Drosophila melanogaster: one gene and its partners. Changing the gene in region 3 together with the main gene of any one other region gives a genetic interaction. Each region holds a gene or a part of one and is shown on either strand. Other genes may lie near its edges.

Region 1 (7,755 bases), on a different chromosome or scaffold from region 3:
CACGTGATATATCTAGATCTTACAATATCATGTACATCGACATACCAGCTCAATGCTGATATATGTACATATATGTTTGCACAGATCATTGAATCAGATTCATTAACACTGCATAAAACCAAAAAGGTCTCAGAGCTTAGATTGAAACAATTCGTCCGATTTATTCCATAATTAATTAAGCTTTTCACAACTGAATTTATATAAAACAAATGATGTAATACAAAAAAGTAAGATACAAAACACAAAAAAGTAATAGAAGCTTTTCAAAAACTATTGTATATACAAATGTACATACATATGTATATGTATATAATTTTAAATCATTGATTTACCATTTCCGAACATTGAAAATTATAAATAAAAATGTGGTCTTGCACAATGCGAAAACAGATAACGACTAATGGGTTAAGAAGTGCACCGGAAGCGTGTGCCATCCGATCCCCGCTCTTACGGCCTGAGCAGTTCTACCTGTGGTTACCTGTTTGTCGCAGACGATTAGAAACTAATTAGCTGACCAACGCCGACATTTGCATCTCTGCCGAATGACGACACTCTTGGGCGGATTTACGATACGGGTCTGTTTGGCAGCCGGTTCGGCAGACTAGTTGTCGCGACGGTGGCTGATCGGATCGGATCAGCATTAGGTTTATGGCTACCCCGCTACCCGTAATTAGAACCCGTACTTAGGCACGGCGCTGACAGACCCCGATCGTCGGTCTAAGTAATAATAAATACGATTTTAATGAAATGCTAAAAGTTCATTTGGCTTATCTATGGGTTTGTCAACGATCCGCCACTTTTCGGAACTCAATTAGCTGCGGCTCGGGAATCGAAGATCGGGGATCTGTTCCATGTCAGTGTCATGAAGGGAGCTCGAACAAAGCAGCCACACAAAGAAAATGAAGCGAAAACCCGGGGATGCGAAGCCAAGCCGCTTACAGTGGTGCCGATTTCAAAAAGCAATCGAGCAACCCCTATAAATCACAGGGGGAGGTTTTAAGTGCACATAACACATAAAAAGAAATAAAAGCAGTGGAAAACACTGCGCAAAAAGTCAAACACGCTTTGCTACTTATGATCGCCATATGTGCAAGGGAAATCGGAACCAAGTACAGTCTGTCTTGGCTAAAAACAACGATGAGATGGTCTTCAATATGGCATCCAATATTCTAAATTAGATACACTATTTTCTTCTCTTTTGATAAATGTTATTAAAGTTCGTTATTTGAGCATTTCAATTTGATATTGAAATTATGATAACATTGTTAAATTGTTAACAACTTTAGACTATATGAACTATTATTTAGTGTTATATCATATTATAAATCATATTTTTGTAAATATTTCTTATGCACACCATGATTATGAGTTTCATACAAATAATTTGTTATAATAAATAAAAATCGTATCTACATATACATATGTACATGTAAAATTGTAGAAATATAATAATTAATTTAATTCCTGTTAGCCAGAGCCCACTGTATCACCAAAACACCACCCCGGGAGAACCTTGCCAAAAATTAATTACACAAAGTAAACAGCGCAGGCGCCCTTAAGTATGCCGCGCATCCTCGCCACGTGAGCGAGGGAGACGGTGCCAATCCGTTGTCCCTCTTGCTCGCCTGCCTGCTCGAACGTGAGAAATCAAGTGCCGCTCGGTTCGTTTTCCCTCAGTTCACGCTCCCGTTCTCAGTTCAAATTCATTCTCTTTCGAATCGTCGACGCGAACGGACGTTTAAAGTGAGAAAAGAAACCGGTAAATCAGAGATCCCAAGCAAGCGCGTGCGTGCATGATAGCGAAGAAAAAAAGCTATCCGTTTCAGTTAACTACTTACCAAGATTGAATTTCGCCATCGGGCAAATTACTAAAAATACATAAGTGCAACTCGTCCACTGTGTGTTGTGTTTTTTTTTTTTTTTTTGGTTTTCGCTGTGCCTTTATCGCAAACAAGAACTGATAAAACTAGAAAATATCTTGAGAAACTTGTTTTCGCGCTTTTCTTTTGCTAATTGCCGATCGCGGAAGAGAAAAACAAGCAGTAGACAAAACAAGTGTGGTAATACAATCTGAAAAGGGCACCATCAGCAGCCCGAGGGGTTTATCTATATAGATGTCGCAGCTTATCATCTCATGCTGTCTGTGAGGTTGTTCTGTGTGCTCGTGTAGTATCTTAAATACATAGAGTGTGTTCATATAAAGTGCGACAAAGCTCGATTGGAAACAGCTGTCGAGTGCCCTTGAGTGGGTGGGCAAGATCGTCATCATCATCATCGTCGTCATTATCAACAGAATCAGCATCAGCATCTGGAGGCCCCGGTTGCTCTAAGATCCCCAGTGTTCATCAATTATGACTGCCGAGACCCTCAAGCCGTTTATAACGCCAACGAGTGCCAACGATGATGGTTTTCCGGCCAAAGCGACCAGCACGGCGACCGCCCAGCGACGCACCCGCCAGCTGATCCCCCTGGTTTTGGGGTTCATCGGTCTGGGGCTGGTCGTTGCCATTCTCGCACTAACGGTAAGTTTTCCTTCACAATCATTTACCCAATAGCAGCCCAATCAGGTATTATTGCCCATTTGGATCGACTATCGCGATTCTAAACACACCAATTAGACTCTGAACTGAATGAAATCGTACTACAAAATTTTCATTAAGATGCTATTAATTGATAACATTGCGTCTCTATCTGCCTACTTAAGATAACAAACCATGCTTAAAGATGTTTAATTAAGGTGGCACAAATCATACTTAGTATTGAAATAATTACAAATAAATAAATAGTATAACATATTTTATGTGTGTTTGAGCGTCGTACAATCTCTTCAGTCGCATTTTATGTTTTTAATGTTTTTTAGCACACTAAAATCGTCAAATGTGCTGAATAGATTTAGTTAATGAATATAATTTGAAAAAGATTAAAGTAGTCACCTCCAAATTGAAATAGCTATTCCATACTTGAATGCCTTTTTTTTTGTTTGTTGTGTGCGATTAATGATTCGTCGGAATTCCAAAGGTGTGGGTATATCAGTTATTGGTGGGAGTTTCCCCAGAATATAGATAGGAATGAGTTGTTATGGGCTATGTTGTTTAATGATATTTTGGGCGCCAAAGTGGGCCAATCATGATTATATGGCCGTTTTAATGACTGTTTCGAAACGAGTGTAAAGGTATTACACTGATTCTTAAACTAGACTTTTGTAGAATTTGTGTTTTATTGTGTTTTTAGTGTTTTATTTTGGTAGTTTAATTTATAATTTTGCTTAGTTATCTCTCCAAAAACCATCACAACGACAGTTAGTTTTATCTGGAAAACAGATTGCACCAATAAAGTAATGAAAGCATAAAAACAGAGAGATTCCATTCAGCCATGAACCGCCTTCTAGACTCTGAACAGACTCCTATTTTTCGGAAATGTTTATTTCAGTAGCTTGCCAAAATAAAATGCGAATAAATATAAATGCAAATTGGACTTTAACAACGTATGTGTATAGACACCCCCGAAATCGCAATCTAAAAATGAATATTTAACCTTTGGCACGCTTCGGCTTATAAAGCTGTTTGTCACAAAGTCTTTGTTGATGCCAAATTAAAGACGAAATTCCGCGGATGCATAAATTGAAATGAAAACAGACTTTATGATCCGTGACCGTCGCAGATAGGTTAACTATAATTTGGCATGAAACTATATTTAGAGCGGGAAAAACGGCGGTTTCTTGGCTGATCAAGCGATGTCATCACCGACACGTCTTTAGGCCAAATCGGTTCCTAATGATCCAGCTAATCCAAATAAAGCGGATGCAGATGCTAGAGAAATGTTTATCGGTACATGTCTGTTCTTCCCTTTTGTTTTTGTTCAACCGATTTAAATGCCACTGAGTCCGTTCTGTTATGCATTCGATAAATCTTCGACTGGGTTGTTGTGTCATGTTTTTCCCTGATAACTTTGCGAATGAGTGTGCTCGCTGAAATCCGGATTTGAATTGCAGAAGATTAAGTTTGTGGACTTGAATCTGGTCCTTCTCTCCCACCCCCATTTCCCCCCCCCTCACCCAGGACTCCTCCATGACCCACTCAACTTTGGCTTAAGTGAACGGAAATCGTACAATTGACAATTGACTTGTAAATGATTGGCTTCAGCCACTGACGTGGGCCTCAAGTTCGGTTTTCCTCATAAATCTCCGTTAAGCCATGAAGCATTTTTCGTTGTTTAATTCAATTTCACTGACATTCGTACAAAGTAACCCTCATCATTTGGGGCCCTCTAAGAAAGTGACAAACTGCAGGCGCTGCGATCGATCTACTGATCGCCGATAAGCTCTAATGGAAAGTGGTTCACTGGAAACTTAAACAAGTTTCTTGGGTCTGCGTAAAGTCCATAATTTATACAAGAATTCAGTACAAGTTGTTGTGTGTACCTACATGTATGTACATGTGTATATTTCCCCGTCTGCGCGTACAGTGGCTTAAGTTGAGCCATTCTTTTCGATTTCGGCTGCCAGTCGAGACTTGAGAAGTGTCCGTATATAAGGCCTCTGCTCGGCCCGAATGTTAATGATCCATTAAGCAGATTATGTGGCTGAGTGGCGATCGTACGTACCCCGCCGTATTTCCCCACGAAATCTTTCTCGTCTCGCCTCTATCAGTTTGTTCAGTTAGTTTTTATATATTTTTCGGGTGTCAAAAGTTCGCGGCACTGGGTGTTATATGATGTGCCGGGCCTTAGCACCAGCTATAGATGTTTAATTGGGGCTACGTTAAATTGATTGCCCAATTGCTAATGAGCGGATGATTAGAAACGAGCCTGAATGAGTGTGTAACAATTGAATTATCTTATCTTGCAGATCTGGCAGACAACGCGTGTATCGCATCTGGACAAGGAGCTGAAGAGCCTGAAGCGAGTCGTCGATAATCTCCAGCAGCGTTTGGGCATAAACTATCTGGACGAGTTCGACGAGTTCCAAAAGGAGGTGAGCAATTGCGTAAATCACTTTCGAGCATCAATATTTGTACTCGGCGATGGGGCAGGGGCTGTAACATTTGCCCCGGGCAAATACAGATACCTCGAATTGTTTACAAAGTCGGAAATGATTGTTATTCCTTGAGGCTGGTACTTGAGTTTTTAATGAGGGTATATCGAACTTTTGTTATTGAGTATCTATTATGTTTAGTTTTCTTTTTGCCTAAAGGGTAATTTGCATTTTATGATGGCAAACTCTGGCTAGGGTATCTCACAGTCGGTAAGCCATGCGCCTGTTTTTGAAAAAGAATGCCTCAAAAAAATGACCAGACGTAATATGTGGTTATTGTGTGGGACATACAAAAATATTTATAGAATTATGTGCTAAAATATAATTTCGACGCTGTTTCATCTGTTATTTGTTTCATTTTTTTTTGTTAGCTGCTTGGCCAAAGGCACATAGAAAATTGTGATAGATTATTTGAATTATAATGTCTCTTTCCGCAAGGAAACACTCATTTCAAATATGAGGCGCCAGCCAGTTCACGTAATTTATGAGATACAAATCCCCAAGTGACAAAAGGTAAAAGCCCCAATAATTCAACAAAAATACTAGGCTCTATCAGTAGATATAGTCGTTCAAGGCGAGCGATCGCTTTTGGCTGTATGTGACGATTGATCGAATCTCATCAAATGGCCTAATGGCCAGAGATGGTTTTAAGATTTTAAGATTTATTTATATTTTGATGGCTGGGCATCTGTGGTGCCAATTCTCTTGAGAGTTTCCTTCGCTTTTAAATATATGTATGATGTACACAAGTATATGTATACGAGTATCATGTTTTTGAGCGAGGCGCCATCAATTAGGATGATGACGAAACAGCCTGTGCTGCGGGCGTGTGTCTAAAAATGAACGTCCCAAATGGATGTGAGATATGTGCCAGGACTGTGCCAGCTGCAGTCACGTACTTGGCCAAGTCTTCTGACCCAAAATGCTGATGCCCATCCCTTCGTTGCAGTACGAGAATGCCCTCATCGACTATCCAAAAAAGGTGGATGGCCTCACGGATGAGGAGGACGACGACGATGGCGATGGTCTGGATTCCATTGCGGACGACGAGGACGACGACGTTAGCTATAGCTCTGTGGATGATGTTGGCGCAGACTACGAGGACTACACCGATATGTTAAATAAACTCAACAATGCACATACCGGCACCACGCCCACATCTGAGACCACTGCTGAGGGCGAGGGCGAGACGGACAGTGCATCCTCAGCCTCAAATGATGACAATGTGTTCGATGACTTTACCAGCTACAATGCCCACAAAAAGAAGCAGGAGAGGTGAGCACGGATGAAATTTTCAGGGATTTATCGTATTAAGCCTCTGCTTTTCCTCTTCACAGAAAATCTCGCTCGATTGCCGATGTACGCAATGAGGAGCAGAATATTCAAGGAAATCACACAGAGCTTCAGGAAAAGTCATCCAATGAGGCAACTTCCAAAGAGAGGTAAGTAGAACGTTCCGTTGAAAACAGGCAAGAAAAACCATTAATGAAGTTATATGCTATGGGTTAAAGATAGATAGTTAACTGCGTAACTGAAACACATATGTATACATTTTCTTTTTACTTGAAGCCCTGCACCACTTCACCACCGTCGCAGAATGCATTCCCGCCATCGCCACCTCCTAGTCCGCAAAGGTGTGTAGTGTAGAAAAGCGAAACAATTGGCAAAAATCGAATACCAAATCTCTATTCGCACCTCTGTTAATTTGCAGGTGAATCTCTTCTTTCAGCCAGATCCGAGGACTCGAGGCCAGCAGCCCATTTCCACTTGAGCAGCAGGCGGCGTCACCAAGGAAGTATGGGTAAGGAGATGCTTCCGCGTCAAGCGTGTACATACAAGTACTACAGGCAACCTAATGAAGTCACTTCTTGAATTTCTCAGGCTACCATGGAGATATGTACATAGGAAATGATAACGAGAGAAACTCTTATCAGGGACACTTTCAAACGCGCGATGGCGTCTTGACGGTGACCAATACAGGCCTATATTACGTATACGCCCAGATATGCTACAACAACTCGCACGACCAGAACGGATTTATCGTCTTTCAAGGAGACACTCCATTCCTGCAGTGCTTGAACACGGTGCCCACCAACATGCCACATAAGGTGCACACCTGCCACACGAGTGGTCTGATCCACCTGGAACGAAACGAGAGGATCCATCTGAAGGACATTCACAACGATCGCAATGCAGTTCTGCGGGAGGGAAACAACCGAAGCTACTTTGGCATCTTCAAGGTGTAAATTGGAGAGATTATCCCCGGTCAGAAGATGGAATACCAGTTTAAGCTTTTGTCCCCGCGACTGCTCGTGAATGCGATTCATCGCCAGCGTGAATCCATTAGTTCGTAGTACCTAGTCTTAGTCACTCCAAACCTAATCTCAATCGGAATCGTGCATACTGCATTAGTCAGAAGACGGAGGAAAATCATATTTATTTTGTATATACTCGTTCGACTCTAAAAAGTGAATAAAAATATATGTAGCTATTACCCGCTTGTGTAAGCGTGTTTAAGAAACATCAATTGAATCAATTGCTACCAGTTGCAATTGAAAATATTATAATCTTCTAAATAATGAATATTCGTTCTTAGTATAATTCGATTCAAAATGCTTCAAATGCTTTCAATTCAAATCTCAAATGAAGAGCCATTCAAAGATATCCCTCAGCTTTATTTGTGCAATTCCAGCTTACTATGGTCTTTATTAAAAATTTTGAAT
Region 2 (4,072 bases), on a different chromosome or scaffold from region 3:
AGATCATTTTAGAGTTTAGTTGCAACATGTTCAATAAAATGCTTTTATTCTATTTACTTCTATATATTTATATTTTATTTTCATGCTAACCATAAATACTTCTTTCTCGGTGTAGAACCAGAAGTGAGGAGCTCCGGGAATCGGTTATTTTGTTTCAAGCTGATTTAGATTATTTTCGGTTCTCGACTTTCGCCGAGATAAGCAAAATAATTCGTTCTTCGGCGTTGATAAGTCTGTCTCCGTTGTGGGTACAGTGAGCACTCGAGCGAGGGCCAATGTCGGCCATTGACGAATGGAGTTTGATAAACAATCAAGAATATTTGAATGCGTGAGCTATGTAAGTAAGTATATGTGCTGGTGCTGCGAAGATCTTGGAGAAGAAAAGAGCACTCAGATATCTTTTCGATGAGTGATTCGACTTAGCTAAAACTAGTTTTACGCTCTTTCCCACTCATAGTTCCCTAATATGCGCAGATCGTTTTCTAGTATTCACTACATATGATATGTCAGAAGAATATAAGAAACATATCACAATAAATAAACCAAAACTCCTTTTATTATGCTTTATTGATTTCCATTGAAATAGACACATTTATATAATTATCTTGGCTTCGTTCATGTTTTTTGTTTTTCTTTTGTTTCTTGAATATCTGTCGTTTAAAATACAAAGTATTCAAAGTTGCTCAGTTTGATGCCTTTAATTCAGTACATAGTATACGAAGGACTTTTCATCTTATACATACATGTATATATATTGATAGTTCCTGGATCTAGCAAAAGTTTAAAAAGTTGTTACTCGCCCGCGCCGTCGCTTCGATATCCAACAACATCTAAATACAAGTATGTAATAATGTAAGTGTAATTGCAATGGAACGTTTACTTTACTGACTCAATATCCTGATCCCTTCCGCAGGACCTTCGATCAACATCTATGCGACATCTATGCTTTATGCTCATTATGCGGCTATTCTCGTACTTGTCTCACATTTTTTTTAGGTTTTTCGTTTGTTTTTTTTTTTTTGTTTTGTTTTGTTTTTGGTTTTACCTCAGTTTTACAACATTAATTTTAATTACAAAAGTTATTAAATAATACAAAATACAGTTAGAGTTTACAGTTCTCCATTTCGTCTAGAAACATCTCGCTTTTAACTTTTAGTTGAAATTAATGCACGAATAAACAGAATAATTGGATTATGAATTACAGAACACTCGAAACAAACTCAGAACTCGGAAACGAAACAAAAGCAAGAGTTGGGTTGGGTTGGGTTGGGGGAATCCCCCCCTAGCAGCGGAAATTAGTGGCAAAATTGTAACAAAGAAACTACGGATGAGCCATTTAGCCTGGCCACGCTTAGGTTACATAATGGTTTTATAGTTAATAATATTACGTTTAAGCAGAGTCCGTCGGTGGAACACCACCGACCAACTGTCTAACTCTTTTAGAGCAGGGCGCACTTGCGCTTGGACTTGGGCTGCAGCACGGGGCACAAAACCGACCGGATGGCCTCGTCGAAAACGGTTTTCAGACCCTTCTGCGTCAGGGCCGAGCACTCCAGATACTTGACCGCTCCGATTTCCTTGGCCATGGCCAGGCCCTGCGGATAGGTGATGGGCGCCAGTTTCTTGTCCCTCAGCTTTTCGATTGTGTTCTTGTCGTCGCGCAAATCCAGCTTGGTGCCCACCAGGATGATGGGCGTGCTGGGGCAGTGGTGGCGCACCTCCGGATACCACTTGGCCCGCACGTTCTCGAACGATGCCGGATTCACCAGCGAGAAGCAGATGAGGAAGACATCGGTCTGGGGATAAGACAGTGGCCTCAGTCGGTCGTAGTCCTCCTGCCCGGCCGTATCCCACAGGCCCAGGTTGATGGGCTTGGCGTCCACCATCACGTTGGCCGAGTAGTTGTCGAACACGGTGGGTATGTACTCGCCGGGAAAGGCATTGGTCGTGTAGCTGATCAGCAGGCAGGTCTTTCCCACGGCTCCGTCGCCCACGACGACGCACTTGATCGCCTGCATGGTTCGATTTCCTCGACTTTCTGGACTGGAGTGCTATGTGCCTAGAGATTGGAGATTGAAGATTGCAGATTTCTGATTGCGGGGGTGCTTCTTCTTCAGGCGTTTTTGGTTCTTTTTGGGGCGGCGGCGGAGGACTGTTGCTTGCGTGGGTCCTTTTGCGGGGTTATCTCTGGAAGCGCGACTCCTTTTCCAGTGCCTTGTGGTCCTCGGGGCGACTGATGATCGCGCCTTACGTTCTGGGCCTCTTTAACTCGCGTTTTGTGCGTTAATTTCCCTAATTTTCTCAACAAAAAAAGTAAATTTTCTGTGTACTGCAGTGTGACCGCGGCTGGACTGTTCAAATTTACCATGGGAAAGCTGTAAAATACTAAAACAAATTAAAACTGCATTGAAATGGTCACCCTAAGATTTGTAAATTATTTCAAGGCTTCGTCCTTAAAGCAAACATAAAACCCTTAAGTTTCGCATTTACTTATAATTAAATCCGAATTACAAAATATATAATTTCATTGTCTTCCTGTTTATGTCAGTGATTTGAAGTGAGAACAAGCTGTTTTTAGTAGGGCTGGGCCCCAGAAGTGCAGCTTCTGGGCTTTGGCTGCACCTGGTCACACTTCTGGCAGCAAATAATACAATTTCGAAAATTAGAATTTATTTGCTGCTCAATAGCCAAGTCAATAACACCTGTTCCTTGCCCATCCAGAATGTCTGACGTGTTCATCGTGTCCGCCGCCCGCACGCCCATTGGTAAAACCAAGATAAATCGGCTGCACCATACACGATAACCACATTCTAATTGGAAACTTTCTCTTCGTGTTTGTCCAATCTGAAAAATCAACAGGTAGCTTCAATGGAACGCTTTCTAAACTGAAGGCCTCCGACCTGGGCAGCGTGGTCATCCAGGAGGTACTCCGGCGGGCGAATGTGGAGGGCCAGGAGGTCAACGAAGTCATCTTGGGCCAGGTGGGACCCATATCATAACTGTTTCTCCTCCTATCTTACCGATCTATTTGTTATGTAAATATCTTTGTTAGGCTCTAAGCGCCGGTCAGGGTCAGAATCCAGCACGTCAGGCTTCACTCAAGGCGGGTCTGCCCATTCAGGTGCCAGCCTACGGCATAAACATGCTATGTGGTTCCGGCTTAAAGTGAGTTTGTCCCGTACAATTCCGTACATTTACAATGGTTTTTACCATTTCCAGAACTGTAGCGCTGGGTTACCAGGCCATCCGCTCGGGAGACGCACAGATTGTTGTGGCAGGAGGTCAGGAGAGCATGTCCCTGGCTCCACACGTCATGCATCTGCGGCAGGGCGTCAAAATGGGTCCGGGCACTATGGTGGACTCGATGATCCACGACGGCCTAACCGATGCCATGGAGAACATACACATGGGCATCACTGCCGAGAATCTGGCCGATAAGTATAACATCAGTCGTGAGGCCCAGGATGCCTATGCCGTGCTGTCGCAAAATCGAGCCGAGGAGGCCCAAAAAAAGGGTTACTTCGACAAGGAGATTGTGCCCGTGGAGATCAAGGATCGCAAGGGTACGACCACATTCAGCAAGGATGAGTACATCAAGGCGGGCAGCACCGTCGAGGGTATACAGAAGCTCAGGGCAGCCTTCAAAGAGGTGGGTCTAAGATAAATACAAGAAGAGCGAGAGTTAACCCACTTTCTCTTGCTTATGTAGGGCGGCTCTATAACCGCTGGCAATGCCTCAGGCGTCAACGACTCCGCTGCTGCCGTACTACTGATGTCCGGCGAGGAGGTGGCCAGGAAGGGTCTTAAGCCGCTGGCTAGGATTGTGGGCTGGACTCAGAGTGGCATTGAGCCAAAGGTGATGGGACTGGGACCAGTCACAGCTGTGGAAGCATTGGTAGTTACACGGAAATTCCACTTCTATACATGCTCCTAAGTTTTCACATTTTTCAGCTTCAAAAGATTAACTGGAAGCGTGAGGAAGTGGATCTTTACGAGCTGAACGAAGCATTCGCCGCCCAATCACTGGCTGTCCTGCAGGACCTGCAGCTGGATGCTCAGAAAGTAAATGTCA
Region 3 (4,970 bases):
GTGTGTGTGCATGAAGAGGAAGAGCGAATGAGAGCGATTTTGTTTTTGTTTGCGAAGTTTTTTTTTCCCTGGCAGCAATTCAATTCAACAATTAGCCACTACAACAACAGCACGTCATAAAAAATAACGCTATTTGTAAACATGCGAAAGAGGAGACACGGCACAATGTCCGATGAACGAATGTGGGCAGGGTGCGGCGGAGGTGGGAATATGTGAGGCCCAAAAAAAATGACAACAACAGTAACGGGCATATCAAGACATTACTCCGGAAATGCCAAAAAGTAACCAATGGCGGAGAGCGAGAGAGGAAGAGAGCACCAAACGCGAGTAGAGAGACGCACACATGCAAAAAGTAAATAAAAAGTATGTAAGTAAATAAATAACAACACTTGATGGCAGATGAAAATCCAATAAGAAAAATATACAAGACAAATATGCAAAAACTTAAATGTATAACAAAAGGAAGGGGAAAAGAAACGAAAAAAGGCGGTGGGTGGTCTCACAACCGTGGGCACAATAACGTCATCTCTTACATGAAAAATTTAAAATTTCTATCAATTTAAGCCTCATAAATAATCGAATAACGACAACTTTTGTCTTTAATAAACCAATTTTGTTCTGATAAATTAACATATAGACCGTTATATTTTGTTAGCTATTTATTCATTTAACTTTTGCTCGCTCATTATGTACCACGAACTTGAAAATCTATTCAATAGCTGATTACACTGTTAAAATTTGGGTGTGATTTTAAGTACCCCTGAAATTCGCGGAAACTATTAACCACTACTAATCTAATCGAATCGAAATGTATTTGATTATTCAAAAACCCATTAGGCATTTTCTGGGGTTCATGTATCAAACAGTTATGGTACCAGGAATTGTTAATCTAATCGAGGCGAAAATAAATTGACGCGGTTCACAGCTGTTAATACCACTGTAGATTTGACTTCTTTTTATTTTTGTTTGGCCCAACAAAAGGCCGAAAACAAGTTGGGTACGCTTTTGGTGTTCGCACTTGGCCTGTCTTATCTATGCAATCGGAAAAACAGAACGGGAAATCGGAGGGGGGGAAAAGCGGCAGAGCTACGGGGTTGACGGGGCGCTGCTGAGGTGCTGGAATGGGGGATTATGAGCAGCTGTTATGCAGTCGGGGAATCGATAGCGTTTGCCCTTTGTTGGCGGCATCCAAATGCTCCAAAGTAAACCCAATGGCAATAGCAATGGGAAAAGCCAAGAAAAGAGCACTTCTCTTATCACAATTTAAGCACACATACATGTATGTACACACACACACGCGCACATACACAGCTTATTGGGCAATGACAATTTATTAACAAAATATTTACACAAATGCGGACAAAAGATGGTTTTGTGGCTTGCGGTTGGCGGTACGGTATATATAGATTTTTGGTGACCATTTTTGGGGATCACGATTTTTCTCAGCCCACTTTTATTACCACTTAACAAACTGTCTACAGTTGCGGTCAGAGAAATGTTGGCTTAAATCCACACCTGTCACAGAGGATCAATAAAGATTTCACCTGTCTAATGTTCGATCGATAAAACATTGATCTTTCTGCGAATTAATATCAAAAATGTTGTTTGTGCGTTTGGAAATTTACTTGGAAAGTTTTACCACGTTTTTGGCGGCCAAAACTGTTTTTCGACAACGATTTACTTTCGAAAGTAGAGAATTATCGAATATTCGAATCGGGAAAGTCTCGTTGGAAAATTTTGAGTTACAGTACGCAGTTTGATAAGCTATCATTTTTAGATAGCGGTTTAGAGTATTCCCTGGTACATGGAGTTTAGTTGTGACATTATATTTTGTTATATTTTTCTTCAACGATTTTCAAAGATTCAGGTAACTACAGTGTTTTTCTAGTTGATCCCAATTAATTTTATATATTAAAGATTTAGTAGGAAGTTAACGAAAAGAGGACTTACGCATGGGCAGTGTGGGCGTGGCTCGCGACACTCTAGTTGTCGGCGGGGTGTATGTTCCACCGAAGGTGCCCGTCGCCGGTGCTGCGGATGCAAATGCGGATGCGGATGAGGATGATGACGAGGCGCTGGCGCTGCCGAAGGGCGTCGCATGAGGAACTGGAGGTGCTGGACGCTGGGCTATGCTGATACCCGATCCGGAAACGGAACCTGCGCCCAAGGAAGGTGCGTGGGTGGCGGATGTGGCTGCGGATGCGGATGTCGCCAGGGGCGGGACGCGGGCAGATGGAACGGAACCGGAAACGACAGGGCCGCGCGCACCGGAGAGGACGATCTGGTCGTGGGACTCATTCTGCGCCTGGAGCTTTGCCTCCAAGGATTGCAGCCGACTGCCGATCGTTTCGAACTCAATGGTGGACATTATATCGAGTCGATTTGGTTCGATTTTTTATAGTTAGTTGCTAGTATCGTTGGATTTTGGTATTTATTAAATTTTTTTCGCCGTTTTTTGGCCAGCACTTCTTCGATTTTCCTCTCACTCACTCCCTCTCTCTCACACACACACAAGCGCGCGCAGGCGGGGGAGGGTGCGTGTGTGTGTGAATTGTTTTGCTGTGCGCCCTGTTTGTTTTGTCGCTGATGTTGTTGTTGTTCGGCGGCACACATACACTGTAAACTTTACACTTGCAAAAATAAAGGATTGCTTGGACTTTTGTTGTTTGCCAAGGGGGGGCACAAAAACAAAATCGAAAAAAGGAAAACACAGTCACTGTGCATTAGAGAGAGACATCCTCACCCCCACACACGCACACACACAGGCATACACGCAGCGCCCTCTCTCTCTTTCTTTTTCAGCAGCAACGGCAACAACAACTTGCGATTTTTTCCTCCTTTTTTGGGAGAATATTTCATCGGTTGTTTTCCTTTCGCGGCGCTGTTTGTCGCACTTCTGCAATCGATTCGTTTCGCGACCGCGGGCGGCGGTATCACTGGCACAATTTGATCACTCGCTTTTGTACGTTTTTGCTGCCTAAATCGCGTGTACAATAGTGATGTAAAAAAACATCGATGCATCAGCCATCGATGGTTCTTCGCCGATAATTCTTAATATCTTTTTTCGTGCCTATCGATGGTTTGCAAAACATCGGCACCTCAGAAACAGTTTTCGAACTAGGAACGGCATCTAAAACTATGTAGGATTTTATTTTACCGAGATAGAATAATTTTCAGAGGATATTTCATACAAATATAATATAACTATAATAGATTTTTCAAATTCAAATTGGTCGATTCGAGAGACTTCGTTGTTCTTGTACTTAAAATAATAATATAAGGTCTACCTATTTATTAATTAATAAAATAATAAATTATTTTAGTACAATTCTAAAACATCGAATTCTATATGTTCAGTCAAACTTGCAACATTACGTATCGAAAACGGAGTGACCAAAGTGCTAAAAAGAATCATAAATATACCGAAATGCAACTTAAGATGGGCATCACTTGGCTAGAACTTATTAAGTTTTCCCTTAAAATAAATGTCTATAAATGTATAAATAAAAAATTAAAGAAAATAAACAAACATTAAAAAATAGGTATGAAGAATATACGGAACAACTTTCTAGAAGGCTTACAAAGAGATATAGATATAATCGATACCTAACTTAATTATCTAAATTCGTTGCAGGTGGAAGCAAATTTATTATCGAGGCACTTCGATTTATTTGTATGACGATACTATAGCTGCACTCGTTGGGATATATCGATAGGACCAACTGCGGCTGGCCAGCGCTAGTGGAAAAGAGAGAAAAACGAGAAGAGAAGCGAAAAGCGATCGGTGAACAGTGCAAAAAGTGCGGAAAGGAAAGCAAAGGCAATAGCGAAAGGTTGGGCGGCAAAACCCGGGCCACACGATCCACACCGATCCGATCCCCATATCACCGACCCGCATCCGAATCCTGACCTGACCAAATGCGGTAAAAATAGCCGCACCGCATCGCATCCGATTCGCACCGAACCGCCAAGTCTTGCAGAATCCGCCAGAAAACACCAAGGAAAGTCGTGGAGAGGAGAGGGTATATATAGCATATAGCATATAGGATATAGGATATAGAAGGGCCTACCAAAATGTCCAAACGCCACCGCCTCACGCCCTTTACCATTGCCAAGGAGCCAGAGGCCGCCATGTAAGTCAAAATGGTCAAATCCTGGCCAGAAACGAATTGTGAATTGAACTACATTCGGCAATCCTTTTAGAGTCCCGCCACGCAACCTGGACTCGCGGGCCACCATCCAAATTGGCGACCGGACCTTTGACATCGATGCAGATAGTCTCGAGAAGATCTGCGATCTGGGCCGTGGCGCCTATGGCATCGTGGATAAGATGCGCCATAAGCAAACCGATACGGTCCTGGCCGTCAAACGCATACCCATGACCGTAAATATTCGAGAACAGCACCGCCTTGTAATGGATTTGGACATATCGATGAGATCCAGCGACTGCCCCTACACCGTCCACTTTTATGGTGCGATGTATCGCGAGGGCGATGTCTGGATTTGCATGGAGGTGATGAGCACCAGCCTGGACAAGTTCTATCCGAAGGTCTTCCTTCACGATCTGCGAATGGAGGAAAGCGTGCTGGGCAAGGTCAGCTGGGGAGGATTGGGGGCGGGTCTAATCTTATCGGGCAATCGCCACTATACTATTACCGTACTACTGCCTTTGCTTTACAGATTGCCATGAGCGTGGTCAGTGCGCTGCACTATCTGCACGCTCAACTGAAAGTCATTCATCGGGACGTCAAGCCCTCGAACATACTGATCAATCGGGCCGGCCAGGTCAAGATCTGTGACTTTGGCATCTCAGGTGGGCTGGCATTCTGTGACTTCTTGCCACTGTAATCATTCTAATATTGGACTGACTTTTAGGCTACCTCGTCGACTCCATTGCCAAAACCATTGATGCCGGTTGCAAGCCGTACATGGCGCCGGAACGGATCGATCCCCAAGGAAATCCGGCGCAA

Evidence for each region. Genes that interact genetically often act in the same process or in processes that back each other up.
Region 1: of hep (region 3) and egr, changing one suppresses a phenotype caused by changing the other (phenotypic suppression), as found in Drosophila melanogaster (4 studies listed by BioGRID).
Region 2: of hep (region 3) and Rac1, changing one suppresses a phenotype caused by changing the other (phenotypic suppression), as found in Drosophila melanogaster (3 studies listed by BioGRID).

Annotation. Positions count from the first base shown.
Region 1 is NT_033778.4:10,076,661-10,084,415, forward strand, and holds egr (eiger), read left to right. Parts: upstream 1-1,705; 5' UTR 1,706-2,351; coding exon 2,352-2,522; intron 2,523-3,952; exon of another isoform or gene 3,953-4,034; intron 4,035-4,127; exon of another isoform or gene 4,128-4,264; intron 4,265-4,527; exon of another isoform or gene 4,528-4,665; intron 4,666-4,846; coding exon 4,847-4,972; intron 4,973-5,592; exon of another isoform or gene 5,593-5,662; intron 5,663-5,981; coding exon 5,982-6,307; intron 6,308-6,369; coding exon 6,370-6,474; intron 6,475-6,601; coding exon 6,602-6,666; intron 6,667-6,743; coding exon 6,744-6,833; intron 6,834-6,913; coding exon 6,914-7,278; 3' UTR 7,279-7,550; downstream 7,551-7,755.
Region 2 is NT_037436.4:1,300,329-1,304,400, forward strand, and holds Rac1 (Rac1), read right to left. Parts: upstream 2,356-4,072; 5' UTR 2,019-2,355; coding exon 1,440-2,018; 3' UTR 551-1,439; downstream 1-550. Other genes in the region: Acat2 (Acetyl-CoA acetyltransferase 2), read left to right, coding at 2,723-2,765, 2,860-2,981, 3,053-3,165, 3,220-3,649, 3,710-3,895, 3,952-4,072. UniProt on the Drosophila melanogaster protein: During various developmental processes, regulates changes in cell morphology in response to extracellular signals.
Region 3 is NC_004354.4:13,087,409-13,092,378, forward strand, and holds the start of hep (hemipterous), read right to left. Parts: upstream 3,027-4,970; 5' UTR 2,369-3,026; coding exon 1,951-2,368; intron 1-1,950. Other genes in the region: lic (licorne), read left to right, coding at 4,075-4,133, 4,204-4,594, 4,681-4,813, 4,876-4,970. UniProt on the Drosophila melanogaster protein: Required for the epithelial cell sheet movement called dorsal closure (DC), which allows establishment of the dorsal epidermis. Controls the expression in the dorsal epithelium edges of another dorsal closure gene, puckered (puc).